Linked DNA regions of Rattus norvegicus. Each later gene encodes a partner of the first gene's protein in a complex. Links are inferred from orthologs where the notes say so. Each region holds a gene or a part of one and is shown in the gene's direction. Other genes may lie near its edges. The genes, in order: Lims1, Rsu1 and Parva.

Region 1 (4,950 bases):
CCCTCTTTGAGGTTCTTTGAGCTTCCAGTGTAGACTGCAAACAAGCAGCTCTCCAGGATTGCTCCAGGCCATCAACTGTTGGGTCATCTAACTTGCGTATTGAGCAACTAATGGATTTCTGGCTTCCTCAGTGTGACTTTGAACCCTGGACATTTAGAGTCCAAGATTTCACTCTGAATTAATGCACAACATTGCCTACCACATAGTATTAGTTTTCTAGTATAACAAAAATGTTGAAGATACAGTAAAACTTAGTTTTGAAGATACAGGAGTTGTCTAACTAGTCTATTATTTGGGGGCAGGAAAAGGTTTCCCCTGCCCTCTTATTACACACTGGTGTGGTGAAGACAAAAGGAGATGGGGAAAAAAATCCCACCATTTTCTTTGTTTTTGTTTTATTTTTGTTTGTTTGGAGACAGGATCTCACTATGTAGCTCTGGCTGCCCTCGAACTCATTATATAGACCAGATTGGCCTAGAACTCGTAGACATCCACTTGCTGCTGCCTCCCAAGTGCTGGGATTAAAGGTGTGCACCATTATGCACAGCTCAGAAAAAAAATACATAGTTAACTATTTATTTTGAATATTCCTTCCAATAATTCTTTGTGGGGCTGAAGAAATAGCTCAGCAGTGAAGCATGTTTGGTGCTCTTGCAGAGGATCTCAGTTTAGTTCCCAGCACCCACAGACAGGGAAACTCACAAACATCTGTAACCCCAGATCTGTCTCCAACACTGTCTTGTAGTCTCTGAAGGGTGCATAGGTGGTAAGTAGACATACATGAATGCACTCATACACATCATTTTTTCAATTTGTGTGTACTTTGTATTTCTGGTGTGCATATTCACACCTATGTGAAAAACTTCCAAATATCAAATTTTGTTTTTAAAAGCTGATTGCTGACAGACAGAACGAAACTAAAGAAATTGTGATGGTGGCATCCTTTTTTATTCTGAGATACTGTCAAGCTGAGCAGTAAGAAATTCAATCCCATTTTCTAGAACAACCATACTTTTCTAAGCTTTCTTTGTGGCTGACTGGTCAACCACAGAAGTAGAATTGCTCTGAGAGCACATTCCACAAATGGCATTGCTCTGATGAAACTAAAAACCACTAATCAAGAGGCAGCCAGTTTTTACCCAACTATCCCAAAATGGCAACATTTTTTCTTTTGGGTTGATTGTGTATACGTGTTTGGAAGTCAAAGGACAATTGGAGATGATTGTCTCCTTCCACCAGGGATTGAATTGTTGAGCCATCTTGCAGGCCAGCCAAAATTCTAACAAGAGCAAGGAAGTTCCCACTGGAAATGGCCAATCCAGATGAGACCTCCATTCCTGGAAGACTGACTTGCAGGGCATCTTCACTGGCACAATCTCCTTAGGACCGTCGCAGGTCGGGTGGAACCCTGTACCCACGCTCTGTAGACCGATTAGGTAGCCTAACGCCAAGTTGAGTCGAGTCAGAGCCTCAAGCCACGGGTACTCTTACTCGTTCTTTGACCATCACGCCCTTCCAAGTGTTCCCGGCCGCTAGACTCTGTGGCCATCCAGCCCTGGAACACCCAGAAGCCTCTCTGCCTGCTTGGAGCCAGGAGCAGCACCCACAGCCAAACTTGGAGAAAGCAGGCTTAGGGCCAGGCCGAAGAAGGGGGTGGAACTAAGTGGAGGAAGGAGGAGCTATGACAATTAAGGAGCGGGGCCAAGACCTGTAACGGCCCAATGCTGGAGGGTCCTCGCCAGGCTCCACTTCCAAGCCGCTGCTCCTTGACTTCGCCACGCCCCTTTCCCGGCTCTCCCCCCAGTCTACACTTCACCCCAGCACACGGTCCCACGCCCTCTCAAAATTTCGCCCCGCCCCAGCCCGGTTTTGGAGGTCCTTAGCCACGCCTCCCAGGCTGGCGCTCTTCGGGGCGTGGTCAACGCCGCCATTTGCGGGCCACTACAGGCTAGTGGCCGCGGGCCGCCTCGTCCCGCCCCCTTCCTGCCTAGGACCGGCCCTCAAATCTGCCGCTCGCCGCCGCAGCGAGGGAAGAGGGTGCGGCCACCGCGGCGGGCACTGAGGCACAGACTGACCCGGCGTGGACCGCGGAGATGCTGGGCGTGGCGGCCGGAATGACCAACAGGTACGGGCGCGCGCGCGCTCTGCGACCCGCCGCTGCCCGAGCCTACTCTGGGCCGGGCCGGGCTGGCGGGCGATCTCTGCCTCCCCGCGGCCGTGCGGCCTGCGGCTGGCCAGAGGCCCGGACACGCACCGCCCTAGCCGGAGGCGGGAGAGGCCTTCGTGGTCCGGCTGAGCTGTCCTGTGCGGCCTAGGGGTGTGAGAGCAGATGCTGTCCCAGAGTTTGGATCTTAATGTGAAATACATTCTACGGATTAGAAGAACGAAACAGAGGGTCTTAGGATCACTCATTTGTTGTTAACATTTGTTGTATTAGAAATGAACACGGACGTGTAAAATGTTTATTCGTTGAATAATACGTGATATATTAACATACATAACGCAATTTAATGAAAATAGTATACCCTAAACAGAAAAGTTAAGACGAATAGCCCGTTACATATTTTACAGATCCTGTCCACGTCTGGCTTAATAAAAAAAAGCAGCTGGGTTCTCCTTTTGCATTGTCTGTTGTGATGTGTTTTGAATGAACTATTTAAAGGAAATTTGGTTTTAAATAGATGGACCGCGTGAAGAGAAATATTCGAATAGCTTTCCCAAATAATTGTGGGTATTCTTTATGATAGAGCCAGAAGTTCAAAAGGTGTTTTTTTCTTTTTTAAGGCTAGTTTTGATATGAAACCCGAGCTCACAGTTATATGAAAATTCCTCAGGCTGTCTTGTATTTGAATGGAACTGTTACTCATTGTAATGGGTTTTATCGGCTTACCCTATTAAGGAAGGTTCTGGATGCTAATATATCGTATTAATGTCTTTCAATGACTTTTGTTAACATCATCAAAGCTGTTAAACTCAAGATGCTTCATTTTCCAGCATTGCAATTTTCAGTGGAAATCGTAACTTTTCTCAGTGTCAACAAAATATTGTCAGTTGTCCCCATGATTTAGTTTCAAGGAAATGTCTGCCTAAATGTGAGTCTTAAGTCACCGTGGTTGTCTTTTTGTTGTTCTTGCTGAACAAATCTTACTTCAAGAAAAATGCTTCCAATTCAGTACAGTGCTTAACATAGCATGTGCTTTTCCTTGAGATAGATTACTTTGGTATGTAGCAGAAGCACTGCATGCACACATACCCCTGGGTTCCAGGCACCAAGGAAGAGAAGACCAAGAGTTAAGAGTTTGTATAACCACTGTGCTCAACATGAGCAATTGTATTCACCATGGACATTTTTCACCTGAAAAAGAAAGATGTGTGGAATGTCTAGTTGAGAGGGAATTGGTAATGAGCTGTAAAGAAGAACGGATGTACAGTATAATCTCAGACTACAAGAGAATGATGTCTTTGTAGGACCCTCAAGTATGTTTCTGGTCTGGTGGCTTTCCCTGATCCTGTCTCCTCACCCCAAATCTCACTGTGTAGAATCTCACTCTTTGGCTGCCCTTCAGTTTGTCAGTGATCCTCCTGTCTGTTTTCTTGACCACCATGTGTGCCCTGTCCCCATTTTTATGCATTAAGTACATCCATATTGGTCCATTGCCATTGCCCTCAGACAGCTACAAAAGTGAAGCTGTCGTACACATTGAGCAGATCTTCGTTCCTTGTTCCCCCAGGTCCTGGCAACTACCATTTTTCTCCCTTGTTTTAACTTTTTAGTACCCCAGATAAGTGGAGTTACACAGTCTTCCTTTCATGTGCCATAGATACATAGTATGGATGTACCTGAAAGATATTTGGGGTATTGGCAGGTTTCTTCTAGGAATTAAAAATAAAGTTACTGTGGCTGTTCATGAATAGGTTTTAGTGTGGACATGTTTTACCTTTCTATAAAAAATGTCTAAGCATATGAACTTACCAGATTATATAGTAATTTTTATGTTTAGCTTTTTAAGAAATGAACAGAATGTTTTTCCAGAATGGCTGTATTATTTATTTCATCAAGGACAGACACTTAAAGGAGAAATTCACATTCTTATCCTCTATGTAAAGAATTTGGTAAAACTATCATGGCCTTCCAAGTATTTCTGGTTTTCTTTTTAACGTTATGTATATATATGGGCATGTGCATATACCTACATAGGCCAGAGGATGACCTTGAGTCTGGAGTTACAGGTGGTTGTGAGTTGCTAAGAATAGAACTTGGGTCTCCTGGAAGATTAGTGTTTCTCACCCACTGAGCCATCTCTCTCTCTTCAATCCCCAAAGTATTTCTTGAATGAGAGCTATAGTCTTTTTTATTCTTGGGCAATCTGTTTGTTTGTTTTCTTTCTTTGAGGCAGGATTTTGACTTGGTTCTTAGGACTTATTGACTAAGACTTGAAGAGCAACCCTGGTCCTAAAGTTCCTGTAGGGAAGTTGCATCATGAACAGGGAAACTCTGGTGGCACTTAGTGTCTTTGTAAATTTGCAGTGTCCTTTGTCTGCTTCTGAAGGAGGGAAATAGGCCTGGTGGGATGTTTTGTTTTGAGACTGGGTCTCATAGTCTAGGCCAGCCTTGAACTTGCTATGTAGCCATAGTAACCAAGAACATAAAGTAACCAGGGATCTAAACTAAGGCAGCCAAGGTTGGTTTTGAGTTTCTCATCCTCCTCTTGAATGCTGGAATTAAAGACAGTCTCGCCTGTTTTTCATGGGTTTCTGCAGAGGTCAAACCCATGGTTTTATGTAAGGGAAGCACTGCACCACTGTATTTCTAGCCCTGAAATATCTTAGTTCTTTAACTGCTCTGTGCTTTGCAGTCTTGGAGAAAAAAATCCATCAGGCTTGTGCCCTTACTTATTTATTATGAGACTGCGCTATATTGATTTTAGCATTTGCATTCTCTCCCATTGT
Region 2 (4,314 bases), on another chromosome or scaffold:
TGAAAGCTACCGATCATTTGCTCAGAGTCTGCACTGATCAAGGGTCAAAACTCAGATCGAAACATCTGCAGTGACTGCTCAGCCCTTTGTAGTGACTTGCAATGAAGCCCACAGGAAGTCCAGGCACACACAGCGTGGACTGAGTACCAAAGGCCGCAATTAAAACACCAGGTCATTCCTGTTCTTTCCCTAAAGGAACGAGAGCTTTGCTTCTCTTTCAGAACTGACTTTTCCGGATCCCACTCCCCTAGGGAACGTCCTGCTTGCCCATGTGGCTCACCTCATTCAGGCCACGCCAGTCAAGTCCTGGCTCGACTTGAGCTCTCTTTAACCCTCCATGGCCTCTCGTTGTTGACACGCCTTTCCTGATACTGTACTAGTTCTGCAATTCCATGTGATATATATTAGTTAGCCTCTCTCATTGCTATGACAGAATACCTGACAGACACAATTTAAAGAAGGAAGGATTCATTATGTCTCTTGATTTCAGGAAATGTCAGTCCATCGTGATGCGAAAGGCATAGCGTCGAAAGCTTGTGCCATGGTTGGCTCACATTTTGATGATAAGGAAGCAGAGTGGGACCAGATGCTAACCCAGGCCATAATTCTAAAGATCTCCTCTCAATGGCTTACGTCTTCCAGCTGGGCCCCATGCCTCAATGGTTCCGTAGACATCCCTCCTCCCCACCCCCCAAAACCCAGTGCCACTGTCTAAAGATCAAGTGTTCAAACACAGCCTTTGAGGAAATTTTGCATTTAAAACCAGAACACTTATGAATGAACTGTCTTGTTTCCGCTGGTTTGGATAATCAGTCGAATCTGGTGTTGTCTTGCATTCAAGCGAGTATATTCCTTTTTCCTGTGTGGGGATAAGAGGTTGTAAGACAAAGGAAAAGCATAAGAAAGCTGTGTACCCACCCATCCTGAGATCAGGGGTGCCCTGTGAACACGCAGAACAAAGTCAGATGTTGGCTGTGTGCCAGATGAGAGGACCTCAGAGAAAAGGGGCCTCTGGGGAAGCCTGGAGCCCCTGAGCATGAAATGTGTGGCCTCCGGTAAAACAGCCACTGGAGAAGAGATTTCAAAGGCCATTTGGTAGAACAGCGTGTTTCCGAATGTGCAGATTAAAGTGAGGAGAAGGGTAGACAGCTCTGCTTTGGTTCAAGGTCCTTCATGTTTGTCTCTGGGAGAGATGCTGGCAAGGCAATACATAGGCAGCGATATTGACAACATGGGAATTGGGTGACAGAACTAAGATTGGATGTGTTTCGTGCTCCATGAAATCATTAGTTCCTACTGGGTTACAGGACCCCAGGTGTCCAGGCTAGCCTAACCATTATGTCAGCACAAACTTCTGGAGCTTCTAATTGTAAGAGCCCAAGCCTATCCCTCTGTAAGTTCCCTTGTAACCTGTACACAAGCAAATGACTCCATTTTACCTGGAGATTCGTCCCTGCACCTGGCTCTGGGCGCCATCTCCTATCTCCTATGAGCGCCTATGAATTCTCTGTTCTGTAAGGGCAGACCTCTCCCTCGCCACTGTTGGAACAACCAGTTTCTAAACTGACACTTGGGAGGCAACAAAAGAGAGAGCATCATGTTACCTACTGAAACACTCGTGCCTGGCTTGCTGCCTACCCAGAGGACAGCTCCGTTTGCCAGGCCCTCCCCTCAGCCCGTCAGCCATAGTCTTGATGCCAATCAAGCGCATCCTTGTGCTCTACACATAGTGCATAGACATACAGTGTTAGCATTAAAAACCAGGAGGAATGGGTGTCGTTCCGAGGTATGGCACTTGCCTCGAGTCTGGTGGCCCTTGACTCCTTCCTTAGCAGCATACAGTACATAAAATAGTTCGTAAATATACACAGAGACAAACTGTAAATGAATGGATGACTCCTTGAGTGGGTATTAGAACCAGTGGCTCCTTACACAGAGAAGCAGGTCTCTTGGCTGACTCTTGGTTCCATTAGTCAATAGCAGAAGCAATGACTGGAATGAGGCCAGTCCTTTCCTCCAAAGATACTGAGGGCTGAGATGTGCATGGGACTCTGGAAAACACAGTTGTGTCAATAAAGGGAGTTAAGGCTGAGCTCTATTTATTTTAGGGTGGCTTTAATTCTGTTTAATCAGAATCACTCATAAATTATGGATTAATTACTATCCACCGCTCAGTTAAATCCTTTGCACGATGGATACCATCCACTGTAATTGTGGGGCACTTTGTCAACATTTAATCAGTGGTACTTATTAATGTGGCATTGATGTGTGGTGGCCATCCCTGCACCATCAATCACACATGAGCAGCCAGCACGATCTCCAACACCACCGCTCTGTGTCACATTAACTAGCCCCTGGGCTCTCGGGCTGAGCATTGGCGCTCACTTCTAATGAAATGGATAGTGTCTCTCCGTCCGGGGATCTTTTGTCCTTGTAGACTTAAAACACTACGGTTTTTAGAATGCAACTCCGAAAGGGCTTGGTGTACATAACCTGTTCTCAGCAGTCCCGAAGATCCTGTCTTCCCTCACCCTGCCCAGGAAGGGTAAAATACCAAGACCCTTGTCCACAATAGAACACTGCCATACAGGCTGTATACACATAAGTACACGTCTGTGCTTGCATGTGTAAAACTGTCAAGTCTTGGAGTGGATGGGGCAGAATCAATAGAACTCTTTTGGGCTTGTCAAACGTTTCTGAATATTTAGAGTTCGTCCTTAGGAAACTTAGACTAGTAAACAGAGCTCATGACTATCCCCCATCTCTCTCTCTCTCTCTCTCTCTCTTTTTAGCCTCTACGGCAGACACATGCAAGCCAACCCAGAACCCCCAAAGAAGAATAACGACAAATCCAAAAAGATCAGCCGGAAACCCCTTGCAGCCAAGAACAAATGAGGAGCACACACACACACACACACACACTGGTTTCTGGCCTCCTTGAAGCTTTAGCTCTTCTGGCCATCCTTGCTCTGTCCCACAAACAAACAACAGCGTGCTGGTGCCTACTTTTCTCTTCTTTTTCTTTTTCTTTCTTTCTTTCTTTTTTTTTTTTTTGAAAGAAAATTCTTTTCCCTTTCTCCTCCTGGTGCTTGAACGCAGCCTCCCTTTTGCACCTTTCTTGTGGAGGGGTGCACTTTTTATAAAGTCTTACATTCCTGCTCATTTGTTTCTTCTTTTTTTTTTTTTAAATTACCGAAGGCAGAAAACAAAGCTCTCATTCTCCTGCAAATTCCATGGGAGGCACTGGTTTCAGTTCCTTGAATAAACGTCACAAGACTGCTTATTATCAAAAGAATAATTAAAATCATGTAACCACTTAAATGTCACAGTTAACACTTTTCATTCTTTCTGTTTATTCGTATAACTCATTATTGTGCCTTATTAAAAATCTTCCCTCACCGCCAAGCTATTATGTTCATTTAACATCCAAATGATTTCAATAAAATCTTGAATTTATGTCACACTTCTCTTCTTGACTAAAATAAAAAAAAAATAACCTAGTCTTGGGGTGTGCCATGTGTTTTATTATTTCTCTCCCCCCTAATTTTTTTTTTACCTCCTCTAATGTTATTGATTGTAGATGACAATCTGTGGACCTTACCGTGAAACAAATACAAAATTAAATCAGAGTTCGTTTCCTCTCACATCAATTTGTCAGGTTTTTTTTTCCTTCTTCTTTTCCTTTGAAGACTGTTTCTAAATTAGGAAGGAAGAGAAAAACAAATCTCTAGGAGATCCTGCCAGAGGATTTTGGAAAGCAGCATCCTTGCACTAAACAAAACTGTGACTCGTGCCAGCGTCTGCTAGACAAGGGCTGAGAGAGAAGAGGGAGAAAAGCCCCAGTGTGTCGAGAGAGAACTCTGTTCACAGCAAAGCATTCTCCTAAGAGGCCAATGCCAAGGAACTTGTACAAACGCACACAATCTATACCACACCCGAGATGGAGACTACCCTGGCAGAGCCAGTCAACCACCAGTCACTAAGCATCCGCAGTGAGCAGCTCCTCCCCTCACCAGCAGCGGTGTGTGGAGATGAACATAAACCCAAGCACAAGTCTTGTGGGGGTACTTTGAGACCAATCAACAAAAACAGGTAAGGCGAAATACACTCTCAGTGGTCTGTGAGACAAGGACATGTTTCTCTCCTGTGCTGTCTTTACTGCCCATTGCTGTGCCTAAGCTGCGCTCTAAGTGAACCGGCGTCAGGGGGGAAAGCCTTGAACTCATGGCCTCATTTATCTCAGTGGACACAGCATTTCGGAGTCTCACTTCTGATCAATACCCTGGGCACACCTTACCCATGGGAGTGTGGGGC
Region 3 (4,150 bases), on another chromosome or scaffold:
TGCTGTGTGTTTCTATTTCAGAACGCGATGCCTTTGACACACTGTTTGACCATGCACCAGACAAACTCAATGTGGTGAAGAAGGTAGGTCTATGCTGTCTAGGGGCAGCAGGGACCTGCAGTGCGTGAGGAAATCCCAGCTTGCATGTAGGGTGTCCTGGACATCTTTTTCCTCTCTTTGTCACTGGTTAGTCATCCAGGGCCCATCTTCTCACAGTGGGATGCCTACCCTATCCTCCTGCTCACACTGACTCTAGCTTTCTCTGCCCCTCACACAGAACCCTTCCTCTCCCTGGGGACAGGAGGTGATACCAAACAGGGATCAACAAGAGGGACCCAGGGGGTCATTTTTGTCTCTTGCCCTCTTCTTCATTCCCCTTCTGCCCCCACTGACCCCAAATCATACACTCCACCTGTCATCCTGTCTCTCAGGGTTTCCTTGTCCCTTTCAGCCAAAACCCTGTATATCACGTGGGCTGCCTAACCAAGAGGCCATGTCTCTCCCTGTGGCCCCAGAGCACTTTCACGTGTGGAGATCTCTACCTTAGTACTTTTGCATTTCTCTTTCAGACCCTCATCACGTTCGTGAACAAGCACCTGAATAAACTGAACTTGGAGGTCACAGAACTGGAGACGCAGGTCGGTGACAGTTCCAGGGACCCAAAGTTTTCCAGGCGGAGGGATGAGATGTGAGATGTATTCTTCTCAGAGAGATGAGCCGGATGGGGATCCCTCACCCCGCCCCGTGCCACCACCACCAGCAGCTGATTTTAGAAACATTTCAGGAAACTACTCTGTATGTGACACACAACACATGGCCAAGCTCTCTCTCTCCACCTCTGAACGAGTACAGTCTTAGAGCACCACTGTGCACTGATTGGATGCAGGCAGTCTTAGCACTGGTACCTTATACTCGTCTGTTTAGAGGGGTTCATGAAGTGATATTGGCTGATTTGGAGCAATGGGTTTATGTCATGGGTAGAGAACAGTCACCGCCCTCCTGTCGCCTGCCCTGTGTTTAAATGTCTGTTCCATCCTCTCAACCCCTCTTTAACACTCATACGTTCTTGGAAGGACATCAGTGGGGTTTGGTTGTCGCCTCGTTCTTTGATAATTTCACCCAGGTATATACTATATTTAGAGCATATCTACCCCGACTCCCTCATCCCAGATCTTCCCAGACACCCCCACCCTTCTCCCAACATTATGTCCTCTTCTTTTTTTTTTAATAAATAACCTACTGAGTCCAGTTAGAACTGGCCCTGTCCACATGAGTGTAGGACCATCCACTGGACCAGAGGCACACCTCAGAAGAAATCCAACTGTTCTCCCTCCAGCAGCCATCAACTGCTCCTCAGCTAGTGTTAGAGCATCGTAAGCCCCTCCTCCCTTTAGGCTGGCATTGGTGATTTTGAAAAGTAGCAATCAAATGATCGGCATGCTGTCCAGACTGCTCATTGTCCACGCCAGCACTCCTTAGGAGACACTGTTACTGGCGTTTGTCTAACTAGCCCCACTGTAGTGGTAAAAGAGACTACCAAGGCAGTATCTGCTGGACTCTAGGTAGAATCTGCTACAGCCATTTGTACCTTAGTACTTAATAACTAAGCTATAATTTGTACACCCCCACCTCCCTCATCCTCTCTCATTCTGAGTAAACTACAGCTGCCTGACTTGCACCCAAGTGTGAGCACCTCCTGTCGTCTATAGAGCTCTCTTCCGGTATGTCCAAACTCTGGGGCAATCTGAAACATTGCTAGAAAAGCATCTAGAATGATCTCTGGAACTTCCCCGTGACTCAGAGCCAGGGCTGCTGTGTGAGAGGAGGCTGCTTGCCACTCTGGCATCTGTCCACAGGTTCGACCACTCCAGCCACAGCCAGACCCAGCCTTGCTGCTTGCCTCACTGCCGAGGGCTCTGATCTCCACAGAGACTCTGAGCTGCCCTCTCCAGGACCCATGCGGGTGGAATGGGATGCCAGGCACAGGCCGCCCCTGCTTGAGGTGGCCCAGAAGAGTATGGAGGACTACCCTAGTTCCAGCTGGGCTTGAGGCCTCTTTGTCTTCTAGGAAGTTGAATGAAGAGGCTCCAGACCCAGACACTAGTTCACTTCATTCTCCTAGTAGGGCAGCAGCAGGAAGTGTGATTTGCAACTTCTAGCATCTGCGGTCGACAGACATGCGGTAGTCCAGCATCCTCTAAGGGGTGCTAGGATATCAGATAAGCACCTTTGGACACTGAGTCCTTCCAAAATCCACTCACTCCAGGCCATCACTGCCCTGATCACCCTGGACATGCAGCTCGTCTCCTTTGAACAAAGCACTCTGCTCTTAGCCCGACAGTCTGGTCCTTGGGCTCAGTTTCCCAACCCTAGTCCAGACCTCAAGGCCCTTTCTGTGGTCCTTAAGAGAGTTCTGTTTGGTCAGAAAGAATTTCTGTTGCATTGTTGTTTTCCAGATAGCAAAGGCTAGTGCTTAGTAAGTGCTACCTACATATCAAACAGGTCCTCAAGTGCTTTATATATGTTATATATAGTCCTCGTGCTAGCCCTGTGGAACATGCATGACTCCTCTGCACCCCCACTTTACAGGTGAGAAAAAGACAGTGCAAAGACAGTGCAGTCCCAGAGCTGAATAGTAGGGTTAGAGTCAGAACCTGCGTTTCTGGCAGCCATACTGTGCTGCCTCTGGAATCACGAGGAACGGGCACAGAAGCCAGGCCTGGAGGGACACACAAGGCAGGCCTGGGTGATGCCACCACGTTCTCCATTCCAATAGTAGAGTTACTTGAAGGGCCTTACGTCACTCTCCTTGCCCATCATCTGTCATTCCTCCCGATAGCTCCATACAGTGTTGTCCCTTCTAGTAGGCAGGGTAGCCTTCCCCCTGCACCTCACTTTTCTCCCCTGTGAAGTGGGGTATATTGGTTTGATGTCTATTCCACAAGATTAAGCTGAGGACCAAGCTAGGTGACACAAGGGCAGCTTCCACATTGCCTCCCCAGTGGAGCCCTCCCCTACTCCAGCCACTTGCCCCTTGTGACTCTCTCTCACCATTAGCCTGCCCTCTGAGGTGGCCTTGGGTGGATTGATGCCAGACTGATGAAGGAAGTTCATGCTGACACCTGGCTCTCTGTGTAGTTTGCAGATGGGGTCTACCTGGTGCTGCTCATGGGGCTCCTGGAGGGCTACTTTGTACCCCTGCACAGCTTCTTCCTGACCCCAGACAGCTTTGAACAGAAGGTAAGGGCGAGAGGCCTTGGGAATCCATAGCCTGCGTTCAGACCACCTGTCCTGGGCCTGTCTAGAAAAAGATGGAGGCAGCCTCCTGGCCAGGCCTTTGCTGGTTGGAGATGAAGCCACTCTAGTAACTGCTGGGCTTGGCATGTGAGACTCTGGGCATCCTGAACACTGTTCCTCACCCCTTGTTTATCCCTGCCTCCCTAACTTAGATACACAGCCAGACCTGTCTCTGTCAGAGATGACAGGAAAGGTAGTTCCTGAACCAGCTAGCACTGAGGTCTGTGGCCAGGCTGGTTCTTTTTTTTTTTTTGCAATGTGTCTATATCTGTGTGCCTGTATGTTTAAGTGCTGTGGAGGATAGAAAAAGGCATTAAATCCCTTGGAGCTGGCAGTTGTGAGCCACATGGGTGCTAGGAACAAAACGCAGTCCCTCTTATTGATGAGTCATCTTTCCTACCCCTGATTCTTTTCTATTTGGGGGAGGGGGTCCATTTGATATAGAGGTCCAGACCAGCCTGGACCGTACAGTACTCGTGCCTTAGCTGCCTAAATACCGAGATTACAGAAGTCGGATGGCTATAAATTGAGCTAAACTACATCTCCAGCCCTTTTAAGAACTGGGTGATTTTGTTTTGTTCTGGGCTGCCCTGATTCTGCCCTCAGGGGCCATTGTTATCCTACTTGACTAGATGAAAGGCATTTGGCCCGAGGTGGAGGTCCCCTTGAACATGCCTTGCCATCTGACCCAGGCAAATGCATGCACTGCTACCCCTGCGTTTGGAGTCCTGACAACTGAGGCAGGGGTGGAGTGGGATAGGAAGATTTGGCTAAGAGCATCATGGCCACTCTCAGCACAACCAGGACATTTCTCTAGCCAGAAACAGGCTCAGCCTCAGGCCCATAGCTATGG

What was found.
Region 2: the proteins of Lims1 (region 1) and Rsu1 are in contact, whole or in part, in a crystal structure (PDB 7LT9), measured with the Homo sapiens proteins. The link is inferred for Rattus norvegicus from reciprocal best matches to the Homo sapiens genes LIMS1 and RSU1. Residues at the interface, in NP_001180417.1 of Homo sapiens: Cys252, Phe253, His254, Cys255, Asn256, Leu267, Asn268, Lys269, Ser279, Thr280, Cys281, Asn282, Thr283, Glu293, Phe294, Asp295, Met296, Lys297, Cys303, Lys306, Phe307, Pro308, Glu310, Leu311, Arg314, Leu315, Lys317, Leu318, Ala319; in NP_036557.1 of Homo sapiens: Asp21, Ser23, Asp24, Gln44, Val46, Ser48, His49, Val67, Asn69, Phe71, Asn72, His90, Asn92, Met95, Glu112, Asp115, Thr117, Tyr118, Arg137, Ala138, Tyr140, Ser142, Asp143, Ile161, Ser163, Arg165, Asp166, Glu184, His186, Gln188.
Region 3: Lims1 (region 1) and Parva share a complex: the UniProt entries of both Homo sapiens proteins name them as parts of the heterotrimeric IPP (ILK-PINCH-PARVIN) complex. The link is inferred for Rattus norvegicus from reciprocal best matches to the Homo sapiens genes LIMS1 and PARVA.

The regions. Positions count from the first base shown.
Region 1 is NC_086038.1:26,850,981-26,855,930, forward strand, and holds the start of Lims1 (LIM and senescent cell antigen-like-containing domain protein 1), read left to right. Parts: upstream 1-2,029; 5' UTR 2,030-2,093; coding exon 2,094-2,125; intron 2,126-4,950. UniProt on the Homo sapiens protein: Within the IPP (ILK-PINCH-PARVIN) complex, binds to F-actin, promoting F-actin bundling, a process required to generate force for actin cytoskeleton reorganization and subsequent dynamic cell adhesion events such as cell spreading and migration.
Region 2 is NC_086035.1:81,097,055-81,101,368, reverse strand, and holds the end of Rsu1 (ras suppressor protein 1), read left to right. Parts: exon of another isoform or gene 1-2,792; coding exon 2,793-2,895; 3' UTR 2,896-3,502; downstream 3,503-4,314. UniProt on the Homo sapiens protein: Potentially plays a role in the Ras signal transduction pathway. Capable of suppressing v-Ras transformation in vitro.
Region 3 is NC_086019.1:176,124,600-176,128,749, forward strand, and holds part of Parva (alpha-parvin), read left to right. Parts: intron 1-21; coding exon 22-83; intron 84-569; coding exon 570-638; intron 639-3,138; coding exon 3,139-3,240; intron 3,241-4,150. UniProt on the Homo sapiens protein: Plays a role in sarcomere organization and in smooth muscle cell contraction. Required for normal development of the embryonic cardiovascular system, and for normal septation of the heart outflow tract.